Cricetulus griseus: one gene and its partner. The protein of the gene in region 1 purifies or fractionates together with the protein of each later gene. This does not show direct contact. Links are inferred from orthologs where the notes say so. Each region holds a gene or a part of one and is shown on either strand. Other genes may lie near its edges.

The links. The genes of interacting proteins can lie anywhere in the genome.
Region 2: the proteins of Tada2b (region 1) and Taf6l purify together in Homo sapiens (affinity purification with mass spectrometry; 3 studies listed by BioGRID and IntAct, counting the BioPlex papers as one, with this or other methods). This does not show direct contact. The link is inferred for Cricetulus griseus from reciprocal best matches to the Homo sapiens genes TADA2B and TAF6L.

The regions. Positions count from the first base shown.
Region 1 is NW_023276807.1:105,485,870-105,493,608, forward strand, and holds the start of Tada2b (transcriptional adapter 2-beta), read right to left. Parts: upstream 4,126-7,739; 5' UTR 4,042-4,125; coding exon 3,772-4,041; intron 1-3,771. Other genes in the region: Ccdc96 (coiled-coil domain-containing protein 96), read left to right, coding at 4,638-6,386. UniProt on the Homo sapiens protein: Coactivates PAX5-dependent transcription together with either SMARCA4 or GCN5L2.
Region 2 is NC_048596.1:51,317,763-51,323,524, forward strand, and holds the end of Taf6l (TAF6-like RNA polymerase II p300/CBP-associated factor-associated factor 65 kDa subunit 6L), read left to right. Parts: intron 1-2,426; coding exon 2,427-2,555; intron 2,556-2,653; coding exon 2,654-3,415; 3' UTR 3,416-3,456; downstream 3,457-5,762. Other genes in the region: Tmem179b (transmembrane protein 179B), read left to right, coding at 3,514-3,609, 4,613-4,800, 4,880-5,014, 5,168-5,246, 5,435-5,527. UniProt on the Homo sapiens protein: Functions as a component of the PCAF complex. The PCAF complex is capable of efficiently acetylating histones in a nucleosomal context. The PCAF complex could be considered as the human version of the yeast SAGA complex.

The DNA of each region.
Region 1 (7,739 bases):
ATAAGAGTGAGGGAACAATACAACATGCCTGCCTTGATGCCTTCAACCAGGGAATGGGCATCAGCCTTAACACTCCCATCACAGCCGTTCTGTCACCTGGCACAAAGGAGTGGGACTCAGCTTTTAACACCCCAATCACACACTGACTGGGGCTTAAGGTTTTTTCCCAATCATGGCTATAGGCAAGTTCATGTGCATTCATTGACCACCCCACAGGAAGAATCCTCCTTTTCTGCCTTTCACCTGGGACAAGCCAGCTTCTGCCTAGCTCACAAATACAACCAACTCCCAGAACACAAAATACTTCCTTCCTCCATGCTACCTTCCCACCCACACAGACTTCTCGTGTCCTTCTTACCACTGGACATGGAGTTCTACTCACCCACACTGCAAGGTCCCAGCTGTCCCAGCAATGTCTCCACAGGGGCTAGCACACAGCAGATTGTTGAACACATGCCAGTGGATAAAGGAATGAATGCAAGATACAGCAATCTGCACACAGGGCATGGTTCGCCTGTGGATGTCAATTGTCATCCCCTAGGCACAAGAACCTTCTCCACTGGTTCCTCTTACTACATTCAAAACCATGTAAGCTGGCATGAGCCCTACTTCCCCTGTGGAGGAGCTGGTCATCTCAAACTGCCTCCTCTGTGGCAGTTTAATGTCTTTAGAGCTGGGTGACAAAATTGATGCCTCATCTACCAAAGGCTCTAGTCATTCTGAACCTCTGTATGTCTACATGTTTATATTCACATATTCCAGAGGCCCTGCATCATTCAACCAGCAGAGCCCACCACAGTGCAGCAGCTGTCTGGAGGCTCTGAGCACCCTGGCAGGCCTGATCTGTGTGTGTTGCTGAGGTTCACCTCTTTCCTTAATCAACCTCCCTACTATGGTATCATCCTTTCTGGGACTTCTCTGTGGTACAGATCCCAACTAGATCCTGTGTAAAGCTTTCTGGTAGTACCACACCACCAACTGTACCAGTAAGCCTGGTCTCTACCTACATTACTTAAGGCTTTTAGTGCTGTAGTGGAGGCCCCAGAATATAATCACACCTAGCCATCATGGCCAAAGCTATAGAATTCTTGGCAAGCAGCTTAGATTCTCACAGTTGCTGTCTTTCAGCTGCAAACTAAGAACATTAAATTCACCCCCACAGTGATGCTTGTGCAAGTCAGATGACTTGCATACATAAAGGATACAGTATAGAGCTAGTACAGGCTCTACACAGGTCCAAACTGGGACATACTCTGTGTAATAGCATGCAAGCTCAGAACAGAACCACATATCTAAGCTGTGGTGCCTCTGAAGGAATAAAGCAACCGGTCTAGGAGAGCACAGATAGCAGAGTCACAGAGCCTCCTCTTTCTGTGTGAGGATCAGTGGTTGCATCTCTCAGACCGGCCCTGAGACTCTTGCTGCTTCAGCAGGTAGCAGTCCATGAACTACACACAGGCAGCCAAGTCCCAAGACTCTTCCTCTTGAGCTTTACTTCTTCCAAAGCTGAGCCTGGACCTCATGAGAACCTGCATCTTGACTCAAGTTCCTCTGGCCTTAAAGCCTGAAAGTGCTGCTTCAGAAGAGGCCTTCCCATCCAGCCTGTTTATTCATCCACATTTTACATGCTTCCATGCCTGGGTGCTATGTGCTTCTGACTGTGCTACACCAATGCAGCACAAACACTAGTTGAGGTGCGGACTCTACAGCCCAAGATTTCCTTTCTTTTCTTTAGCAAAATAAAATATAATAAGATAGAATAAAAACCATCACATCGAAGTTGGACAAGTCAAACCAATGAAGAAAAAGAGCCCCAAGAGAAGTGACAAGAATCAGCGACCCACTCGTTCACATACTCAGGAGACCCATAAAAATACTAAACTGAAAGCTATAATATAAATGCAGAGATGTGGTACAGACCCATGTTGGCCCTGTGCTTGCTGCTTCAGTCTGTGAGTTCACATGAGCTGTGCTCACTTGATTACAAGGGCCTTGTCTCTTTGTGTCCTCTTCCCCCCTCTGGCTCTTACACTCTTTCTGCCTCTTCTTCCACTTGGTATAGCCAGCCCAGTTTCAGGAGATAAAACAAGGTCAGCAGTGGGCTCCCCAAAACTAACACTCTCACTCTTTTCAGTGGCTACTCTAGAGATAGTGCTGGAGGAATGATGTGAGGAAGAAACGTCTCTCTGAAGCAATGACACATAAGGACAAAGATCAGTCAGTAGTCTTGACTAGGGTGAAAGCACTGTAGGCAGAAGAAAGGAAAACTCATCAAGAGAGTAAGCATGAGATCACAGGGAACCATAGATGTTGTCAGGCCTTGCAGGCATTGTAATGTAATCTAAGTAGAACTGGAAGTTGCTGAGAGCCAAAGAGATACAGCTTATGTTTCAAAAGACCTGTGTTGGTGTGTGAGAAGAGCTATAGAACACAAGGAGAAAGCAGGTAAACCATGAGATGTTAAAACAGTAAGAGGTAAATGTCAGCGTGGTTCAGACCAGAATTAGCAGCTACATTCGGCACATTTTTAAAAATAGATGACAGCTAAACAACTAGATGTAGATGAAGGTTTTAAGTTGACTCTGTAGCTGAGCACAAAGTGAGGCTGGGTCACCATGGGCAATGATATAGAGAGGAATGGATGTCATCAGGTAGAGACAAGCTAGAGGAACAGAACAAACGAATGCAACATTTTCAGTTCTGAGGCTCTTCTTCAGGGTGTTTCATGCTGCCTGATCTATACAAATCAAATGCTCAATATACACCAACAACACCACTTATAGGCAAAGCAACCAGATGTTTTTGGAGAGCAGGAGTCAAGGTGTTGGCCATCAGGAAAGTATCTGTAAAGTAGAATCTTTCCTAGGTGGGGGAGGTGGGTCCAAAAGGTCACTCACTGCATATGATGACCTGGAATAGTAAGGCAGTATGGCTGGAGTAGGGAAGCTTAGAGAAGCAGTACCCAACCATACCGGGAAAGAGTCTGGACAGAACAGGGTCATACTTAGCTCCCTTTTCTTTGAAAGCCTGAAGATACTATATGTGCCTGGCGGTAATGGTGACAAAGACAGAGTTCTTCCCTAATAAAGGTGAGGAATAGAAGGAAAGCTCCTTAGAGATCCCTAGAGAACAACCAGGAGACCAGCACACTATCTGGCTGGCACACCAAAGCTCCTGCCACCAGCAAGACACATCTACTGAAACCTGACAGCTAGAAAGCAGACTCCTGGTTACATGCCTCCTCACTGAGAGGCCTTTGTTCATTCTTTACTGGCCACCTCTCACACTATGTCCTGGGTGCTGTAGAGAGCAAGAATTAAACAAGGCACTGCTACCCACGGAGAACCCTAGCTCAGGTCACATGCTGACACCCACAGAAAGCACTCGAAGCCCTGAATGCAGACTAAGTGCATGCGGGATGGGCAGCCCAGGCTTCTAGCCTTCCTCATCACTGTGCCCAGGAGAACCCAACCCTACCAGGGAACTCAGAAGGGACAGCAGGGTCTCGATTGCTGCCATCTGGCTCGAGTAGAAGCTTGGCAAGGTACAGGGCCTGCCCTCCGCCTGCGTTCAATGCACACATTCTGAGGACGAGTGTGAAGGGCAGACAGCTCGGTGTAGGGGCCACGGGTCAAGGCTCTGCTCTACCAGCTGTGTAGCCATGGGCGCCCAGCATTCTCTGGGCGATCCCGTCCGGCCACCTGCGGCCCGCCGCAGCGTGCACCAAACCAGCCAGCCATGCCTTCCTTCTAGTCAGGGCCCGCCGCTCACCCAGTTGCCGAAGCCGAACTGCTCGATGGCGTCCAACAGCAGCTGCTCCTCGCGGCTGGTCCAGCCGCCCTCCGCCTCAGGCCCCCAGAGAGTGAATCGTCCACCGTCCACCAGCTGGTAACCGTGGTAGCGGCGGTGGTGGCCGATCTCCGCGCCAGCCGAGAAGCACTCGGGGCACAGCTCGATGTCCTGGCACTCGGTGCAGCGGAAGCGCAGCGGGCTCACCTCGGCCAGGCAGTACACGCAGTACTTCTTACCCAGCTCCGCCATCTTCCCCCGCTCGCCCGCCGCCCGGCCCGCAGTCGCCGCGCCTCCGGCCGTCAGCGCCCCGCCGCCTGTCGAGCCCACTGCGCCCACCGCGCCCGCGCTGCTGCCGGCCGCTGCCACGGCCGTCCCCGCCCAGGCGCCGCCGGAGCCCGCCAGGCGGGCCGCGTCCCGCCTCAGCACGCAGGCGCCCTCCGGCCCGGCCCGGCAGCCGCCGCCGTCGCCGCCGTCTCCCCGCCGCATCGCGCAGGCGCCCCGCGCGCGCCCTCTTGCGGGCAGCCGAGCCTCCGATCTGCGCCTGCGCGCCGCTGCCTCCCTCCGCCTCATGGACTCACGAAGCCGTAAGGCCCCGCCCCAAACCTGACAGCCGGCAAGGCGCAGACCGGAAGCCGGTCTGCTGCGCCACACCTCTCAAGAGACAGTGTCCAATCAGCGCTTACATTCACCTGTTCGTTGTCCTTCATTGGCTTAATATTGCTGGGAGGCGGAGAGAAAAGGAAGGCGGACGACCAATCGCGGGGCCCACCGCGCGCGCCCTGGTTGCCCCGGGAAACCTAACAGCAGGCGGCCGCGGTCCTCAGACCTGAGACTGCGGGTCGAGCATGGACAGCCACGACGGGGATACCGAGGGCGAAGGAGGAACTGAGGAAGCCCCGACCAGGCAGTCGTCCGAGACCAAGGTCAGCTCCGAACCTGAACCTCAGACCCCGGCCGACCCTGCGGAGCCGGAGCCAGAGCCCGGGCCGGAGCCGGAGCCGGAGCCGGAGCCGGAGCCGGAGCCGGAGCCGGAGCCGGAGCCAGAGCCAGAGTCTGAGGCGGAGACCCAACCTGTTGCGGACGACACTGAAGCAGAGGTTTTGGAGGGGAGTGATGACGCTCATGTCGAGGAAAGTCTGGAGGCCGCTACGGCTGCGAGCGAGACAGCAGAGGCTGCGAGCGAGGCCGTGTCCCGAGAGCCAGAAAGTCTGTCAGAGCCGCATCCCGAGACCGAGCGGGAGTTCCAGGAGGGGGACGAAGACGAAGACGAGGATGAAGACGAGGACGAGGACGAGGATGAGGAACCCGCCGGGCGGGAGAAGCAGGACAAGGTGAAGAAGGTGAAGAGCAAGGAGTCACGGTTCCGGCCCTCCCTGCCACTGACCACGATCGTCGAGGAGGCGGCTGCTCCAGCCCCACAGGCTGAGAAAGAGAAAGCAAAGGAGTCAGAGCAGAAGCGAGGTAGCGAGGAGATCCGGGCGACAGGTCGAGAACAACACAAGAAAAGCAAAGAGGATGAGGACATGGAAGAGGAAGACAATGAGGACTTCGAAGACTTTGAGTGGTCTGCAGATGTTCGGAAGCTGCAAGAGGAGCAGCTGCGCGGTGAGCTAGTGAACCAGTACCACACCCTGCTGTTGGAGCGGAACCGGTACCAGCGCTACAATATGTACCTACAGCAGAAGATCTCCGAGACGCTACGAAAGAAGGGCCTGGAAGCAGCTGAACCTGTGGACAAGAGTGCGGAACCAGATTCTCCCGAGAAAGAGCAAGCATACTTGCGTTATCTGGCCATGCTGGAGGAACTGAAAAAACAAGAGGCGGACGACCTACAGTGGTACCGTCAGGAGGTGCGTGAGATGAAGCATCAGTGCCAGGAGAAGCAGGCCAGGGTGGAGAAAGAGTGGCGGCGCTTCCAGGCCCTCAAGAAGCAGGTGGTGATGCAGGTAATGGGCAGCTGCCGCATGCGCGGTGGACGCCAAGCGGCTCTGAGAGAGGTGGAACAGATCCAGGCGCTGGAGGATAAAAAAGAGAAGGAGATGAGCGCATTGCGTCTCGAGAACGTGCAGCTGAAGCAGAGCCTGGTACACTTTGAAACTAGGATGAAGGCCCAGGAAGATTTGGCTGAGGGGCTGCTCCTCATCGACTTTGAACAGCTCAAAATTGAGAACCAGACCTTCAACGAGAAAGTCGAGGAACGAAATGAGGAACTTCTAAAACTGCGCAATAAGGTGACCAGCAACGTGCAGATTATAACCCACGTGAAGGAAAAGCTGTCTTTCATAGACATGGAGAACTCATGCAAAAAGGCACAACTTTTGGAAATTGAAGCCCAGGTGGCTCTGGGAAGAGATCTATTGACAAAGACGAAGCAAACCCGAGACAGCTTGCGAATTGACAACATCAAACTGAATCAGAAAAGTGGGCTTCTGGGTAAGGAATCACTCCTCCGAGACTTAGAAGAAAAGGTGGATAAGACAGAATTTCTCAACAAGCGCCTGGAATCCCTGAAGCGCCATCATGCAGGGCTCACCTTGTCCTGCAAAGGGGTGAAGCAAAAGATCAGGGAGGCCAAAATGTTCCTCCCCTCTTGACAGTCGTTGACAGGACAGCTGGCAAAACCTCCAAAACTCTAGAAACTTTGTCCCCCACTCTCTTCTGCCCTCCCATTTTCATTCTATATGACTTGGGATGCAACTTTTTTTTGTCATTTCCAGCTTCCAAATTCCTCCTGAACACATCAGTTAGTAGTAGTTCTACATGAGGTTAAGTAAAATATATGGAGAGAGAGAGAGAGAGAGAGAGAGAGAGAGAGAGAGAGAGAGAGAGAGAGAGAGAGAGAAGAGAGAGAAGAGAGAGAGAGAGGCGAGGAGAGGAGAGGAGAGGAGAGGAGAGGTGGTTAAACCGACTAATGATGAAAAGCCTTCCTAGCCAAGCAGTCCCATAGTCTAGAAGAGTGTTAGAACTGTTCCTTGTTTAACCAGTAGCCAAAGTACAGAAAATCCCTGTGCATTGGTCTGATCACTCAGTCATCTTTGTACTAATTAAATTGTATAATCTTGAATCACTGTCTCAATTAGCTCCCAAATTCTCTTCATCTCTCTTCATCTCATCTGTGGGTGTTTGTGGGCATGTGGAGGCCAGAACATACCAGTATTTCTTGCTCTTCACCTTGATTTTTTGAGACAGGGTCTCTTACTCAACCAGGATCTTGCAGTTTGGTTTAGACTGCCCAGCTGGCATGACAATCTTAGGATCTGCCTGTCTCTGTTGCCCAACACAGGGGTTATTGAAATGCAAGGCCAAGTCTGGCTTTTTATATGGGTGCTGGGGATTTGAATTCAGATTCTCATGCTTTCAAACAAACACTCTTTCTTACCTTCTGAGCCATAACCTGCATCAGCAATCTGGCTGTTGGCACTACATAACCCTACTTCCTTTAGATGACACAATTTTGTTTGCTAAAGTATATTGGCTTTGAAGTCAATGAAAGTTAAAATCCCTTTTCTGACTTCCATGGCTAGAACACACTTTACATAAGACCATTCAAATGCATAACTGAGAATAGCTCAAAAATTGATTTCTCCCATCTACTTCCTCCCCTTAGTTGCTGCAATTTTGATTTTCCCTCTACCCTGTCCATCAAGACTGTAGCAAAGCAGTAAATTGCTGCAACTGGAAATGTCGTCTTAGTGACTCCAACAGCAGAGGGCCCCAGGCAGGATTCTGTAGTTGGGGATGCTCCCAAGTGAAACTGGCATTAGTACTAGAAGTGACAAGAATGTTTTTCATTGTAATGGTGTCCTTCAGTGTTTTGATTCATTCAGCTGATTTCTCCCCATCAGCTACTGAATGCTCCCTCGTGAACCTTGAACAAAGTGAGCAGTGGGTCATGCAGGGCACTAAAGTTAGCATGCCCTAAGTTGCAAATGTGTCCTATTATATAG
Region 2 (5,762 bases), on another chromosome or scaffold:
GCTCTTAACCACTGAGCCATCTCTCCAGCCCCTCTTCCCAGATTCTTGCTGTGATGCGGCTGTAGTGTTTTCATGGGGGTTGTTCCTTGTTGGTATACAGAAATAGAGTTGATATGCGTGTGTTTTAAGATCAAGGACAATTTTATTAGAGTTTAAAAGGAAAATATCCTAGGGCAGGCAAGCTGTAAATCACAGACACTGCCCAGATGTGGAGGATGAAAGAAAGGAGGGAAAAGTGCCTGGCATGGTGGTACATGCCTTTATTCTCAGCACTCTGTGTGAGTTCAAGGCCAACCTAATGTACATATTGAGTTCAGGATAGCTGAGGCTTTTAACACAGAGAAACCCCTGTCTGGAAAAGCCAAAAAAAAGCCATGTTATTTGATCTCATCTGGCAGAGTAGTAGGCAGCCACATGGTATGGGAGGGGTATTAAAAAAATAAGGAAGTCCAAATGATTAGAAAAAGCATACTTAGTTTCTAGCCAGCATTTAAAAATAATAGTGCTAAAAACAAAACAAATAAAAAGGTGTTTTTGGCACACATACCTTTAATACCAGCAGAGGCAGGCAGATCTCTGATCTCTGATCTCCAGGCCAGCCTGGTCTACAGAGCAAGTTCCAGAACAGCCAAGGCTACACAGAGAAACCCTGTCTTGAAATACCAAAGAAACAAAAAATTCTGTTGGATTAAACTGAACTTTTATGTGCTGATTTACCTCAATCTGGCCTTGACTTGCTTTGTAGCTGAAGGTAATCTTGAATCTCCTACCTCCTGAGTGCTGGCATGCTAGGTCTATAGGCATCCACCATCACACCTAGTTTATGCGGTGCTGGGATCAAACCTAGGGCTTACAGCATGTTAGTCAACCACTCAACCAACTCAGCTACATCTTTGCTCCTTTTGAAAAAAATCCTTATTTTTGTGATTGTATAAGTGCATGATGTGTGTGTTTGGGTGTTTGCTATAGCAGGTGTGTGGAGGTCAGAGGAGATAGCAACTTTGTAGTTAGTTCTGTGTTTTAACTTTACCTGGGTTCAGGGGATTGAACTCAGGTCACCAGGCTTGTATAGCAAGTGCCTTTACATATGGGCCCTCGATGCTTTTTTGTTATTGTTTATTGTTATTAAAAATAATTTATTTTTTATTTTTATGTGTATTGGTGTTTTGCTTTCGTGTCTGTGTGAAGGCATTGTCCCTTGGAACTGGAGTTACAGACAGCTGTGAGCTGCTATGTGGGTGCTGTAAAGTGAACCCTGGTCTTCTGAAAGAGAATTATCACATATACAGTGGTCTGCCTATAGGCCAGAAGAAGGCACCAGATTGAATTGTAGATGGCTGTGAGCCACCATGTGGTTGCTGGGAACTGAACTCAGGACCCCTGAAGAGCAGTCAGAGCTCTTAACCTCTGAGCCATCTCTCCAGCCCCTTATTCTAACAGGGTGTCCTAGAACTTGCTCTGTGGACCAGACTTAAAGTGAAGACCAGGCTGGTCTCAAACTTGGAATTAGACTTATGAATGCTCTTAAACCTCAAAATTTTGCTAATTATTTTTTTATGATTGAGGTCACTTTTCTGAGTGTATATTGATGCCTGTAAATTTTAGCAAGATGTTTCAGTGTCTTTCATAGTTATTTAAAATGTAATCCCCGTTTCTTTTTTGTCAGTAACATTTTTCCTAGGAATTTGACAGGTGGTTAGCATTTTCAAAAGTTCATGCTCCGTGGGTGAGTGATCCAAGTCTACCTTACATGTCAAAGACCATCTCAAATATAATAGCTTTGGCAGGGTTTTGTTTAGTCCACCTGATAACTACTCAATTTAAAACTGTACAGTCAAAGCCATGTGTGGTAGTACACTGCCTATAATCCCAGAGTCTGGGCTCCCAGCAAGCTCATTTCAATAAGGTGTCTTGATTGTTTTTGTGCAGCTCCTGTTTCTCTAGTAAGAACAGCACTTTCCCGCCAATTGTGTTCACTAGCAGTCTACAAACAATTTCTGTCATAATGATTTAATTATGTCATATTAGCCCACTGTAAAAGGCTAATATAATTTTTTTTTCGAGACAGGGTTTCTCAGTGTAGCTTTGGAGCCTATCCTGGCACTTGCTTTTTAGACCAGGCTGGCCTCGAACTCATAGAGATCCGCCTGCCTCTGCCTCCCGAGTGCTGGGATTAAAGGCGTGCTCCACCAACGCCCGGCCAGTAATGGATTTTTTTATATTGCCTGTATTTGTATGTCTTTATCCTTCATGCCTACCAAAAGATTGTACATATAGTAGATCCCAGAGAATCGATGGATATCTATCTCAATGAGAGAACTGAGGACTGAGCCCGACAACATTCCAAGTGGGTCTTTTGTGGGAAAGGTTACTCAAGAGGGCATATAGAACGAGGTTGCTTACTGTATTCCTTTTTTCCCTTGTAGGCAGTAGAACGAGTCCTGTACCCACATCTGCCCACATACTGGACAAACCTGCAGGCGGTGCTGGATGACTATTCCGTATCTAATGCCCAAGTCAAAGCAGATGGGCACAAAGTCTATGGAGCGATTCTGGTGAGTAGCGAGGCCCAGCTTCCCTTTCTTACAGTAGCTCAGCAGGTTTACTTTGAGATGCCTGCTGGTCCAGGTTTCTTCTAGCTCTTTGTTTACAGGTGGCCGTAGAGCGACTACTGAAGATGAAAGCCCAGGCAGCAGAGCCCAGCCGCGGTGGCTCTGGCGGGAGACTGTGCCATCGTGCGGAGGACTTGCCTTGGGACAGCCTTCTCCTCCAAGAGTCTCCTCCGGGGGGCGGCGCCGAACCAGGCTTTGGGTCTGGTCTCCCGCTGCCGCCAGGAGGCGCGGGGCCAGAGGACCCTTCTTCCTTGACCCTGGCAGACATCTACCGTGAGTTGTACGCCTTCTTCGGTGACAGCTTGGCCACTCGCTTCGGCACTGGCCAGCCCACGCCCACGGCCCCGCGACCACCCGGAGACAAGAAGGAGCCAGTGGCCGCCCCGGACTCGGTGCGGAAAATGCCGCAGCTGACCGCTAGCGCCGTGGTCAGCCCGCAGGGGGACGAGAGCCCGCTCGGCGGAGGCCCGGCGGCCGCCTCCACCGCTTCGGAGAGCAGGCCGCTGCCGCGCGTGCACCGGGCGCGGGGCGCTCCCCGTCAGCAGGGGCCCGGCGCGGGCACGCGAGACGTCTTCCAGAAGAGCCGCTTTGCGCCCCGCGGCGCCCCGCACTTCCGATTTATCATCGCTGGGCGTCAGGCCGGGCGGCGCTGTCGCGGGCGCCTCTTCCAGACTGCTTTCCCCGCGCCCTACGGGCCCAGCCCGGCCTCCCGCTACGTGCAGAAATTGCCCATGATCGGCCGCACCGGCCGCCCGGCCCGACGCTGGCCGCTCTCGGACTACTCGCTGTACCTGCCGCTGTGAGGCTGCCGCCCCTCCAAGAATAAATCCGCACCAGGAAGTGACGTGTCTGTGCTCGTGGGCGGGGCTTGGGCGGTTGGCTTCCTGGTGTCCTGTGCGCCATGGCGCTCACCTGGTTGCAGCGAGTTGAGCTCGCGCTCTTCGCTGCCGCCTTCCTGTGCGGTGCTGTGGCGGCCGCGGCAGTGACCAGGACCCAGGTGCGGCTGCGGGGCGGGCCAGCCTTGGGGCCGAGCAGGCTGGCTCTGGGGACTGGCCGCGGTAGCTTCACCGAGCTAGGGACTGAGAAGTCCCAAACTTGTTTGCTTGCCAGAGGAGCTGGACACGCAGAGCCTATTCGAGTCCAAGATAAACCGGTTAATAAGTTTACTTGGGTGCTGGGACACACAGGCCCAGTCTTTGCATTCACCCAATGCACAAATAGAAACATTTGTGCAAAAAAAAGTAGTATAGTGGAGTGATCAAGGTACCGCAAGATTGTAGTCCGGTGTGTGAAGTGAGGGAACGTATACACTTAGGTACACCAGGTTTATTATTGTTGGACAGTCTTGGTCAAAGAATACTTTGAGTCACTATAAGAGTCTAGGACGCCTTCTTTTACAGGCTAGGGAAGCTGTTAAAGGGCACACAAGGTCAGGACTTTCTCTAGAATCTCTGTTCACGGGGACAGATCAAACTTGCGATTTCTCTTGGGTTTATGTTTTGTATTTCGAGACAGGTTTCTCTGTGTAGCCCTGGCAGTCCCCTGTAGATCAGGCTGGCCTCAAAATAACGAGATCCACTTGTCTCTGCCTCCCAGTGCTGGTATTAAAAGGTGCACCACCACCCCACCACTACTGCTCGGCTCTTGAGGGTTTTTTTTTTTTTTGCGGGGGGGGGGGGAGGAAGATAGAGACAGGGTTTCTCTGTAGCTTTGGAGCCTGTCCTGGAAACCAGCTTAGCTTTGTAGACCAGGCTGGCCTCGAGGTCCGCCTGAGTGCTGAGAAAAATGTGCCCCCACCACCACCCTGCTTCTCTTGCCTTTATATTGTAACCCACTGAATTCTGACCCCCCCTCTGGGCCCTGCAGACTTGGTTCCCAGCAGATCCACATCAGTCTATCCCTCCATTTCACCTATTTGTGAACTCACCCTCACATCTGGCAGTAACCTGCAAATGGGGGCATTGAAGTGGAACCAAGGACTCAACAGCTTCTCTCCACAGGGCTCCTTCGGTGGTAGCTGCCCCTTGTATGGTGTGGCTGCCCTCAATGGCTCCTCTCTGGCCTTGTCACATCCCTCAGCCCCCTCTCTCTGCCACTTTGTATCCCGGGCTTCAGGCCTCTTGGCCCTCTACTGCCTTCTGCTTCTCCTCTTCTGGGTCTACAGCAGCTGCATCGAGGATTCCCACAGGTAATGACCCTACTGAGGACAAGGGGCTCAGGTGAGATGAGTCCCATCTAAGCTACAAAGCTTGTTTTCTATCCCTCAGAGGTTCCATAGGGCTCCGAATTGCTTTGGCCATCTCAGCTATTGCCATCTTCCTGATATTAGTGTCTGCCTGTATACTTCGATTTGGCACCAGTTCTCTCTGCAATTCCATCATCTCCTTGAACCATACAATTAGGTAATGGGAGAGGGAGGGGATTCCGGCAGGGACTATTTCCCTCTATAAGGTACAAGTTTCCATGTTTCTCCTCATCCTTTGGCCCTTATCTCTAAGAACACAAATGTGCTTAGAGTATGTTTCCTTTCTCAGAACTCTCTCTCTACCCCACAGTTGCTCTGAAGCCCAGAAATCCTCATGGACACCCCCTGGAACTGCTGTGCAGTTTTACTCCAACCTACAAAACGCTGAAGTGAGACAAAGGGATATACTAAGATTAAATATCTGTAGCTTAAGAGTGTTCACCATGTAATATATGCTTGCTTGTAAAGCTCAAAGAAGCATGGGCTTGTCTCTTGAGTCTGGACAGAGCACATTGTGTGGGTAGGACTGAATTGGAAATAGCTTCCTTCCTCACACTCCTGTTCTCTTCTCTCACAGACCTCTTCTTGGGTGAATCTGGTACTGTGGTGTCTGGCCTTGATGCTCCAGGTCGTGCAGTGCAAGTCAAGTCACCCCAGAGCACAGCTCTGAGACCAGTGCTCTTATTGGGTAATGCCTGTCTTACTCCTGAAAAATACTCAGTACTTTCTGCCGCCAGAATCTCCGTGCTCAAGAGCTTTTAATCTTCTTGTCTCAATACAGCCCTATTTGTACTGAGAACCACATTTTTCCCTCCAGGAGGGAAACTAGAATAAGTCCCCTCTGCTTTTTCACCTTAACATTTTTTTTGTACCAAAATAATATATTACTTTTCTTCATCATTGTA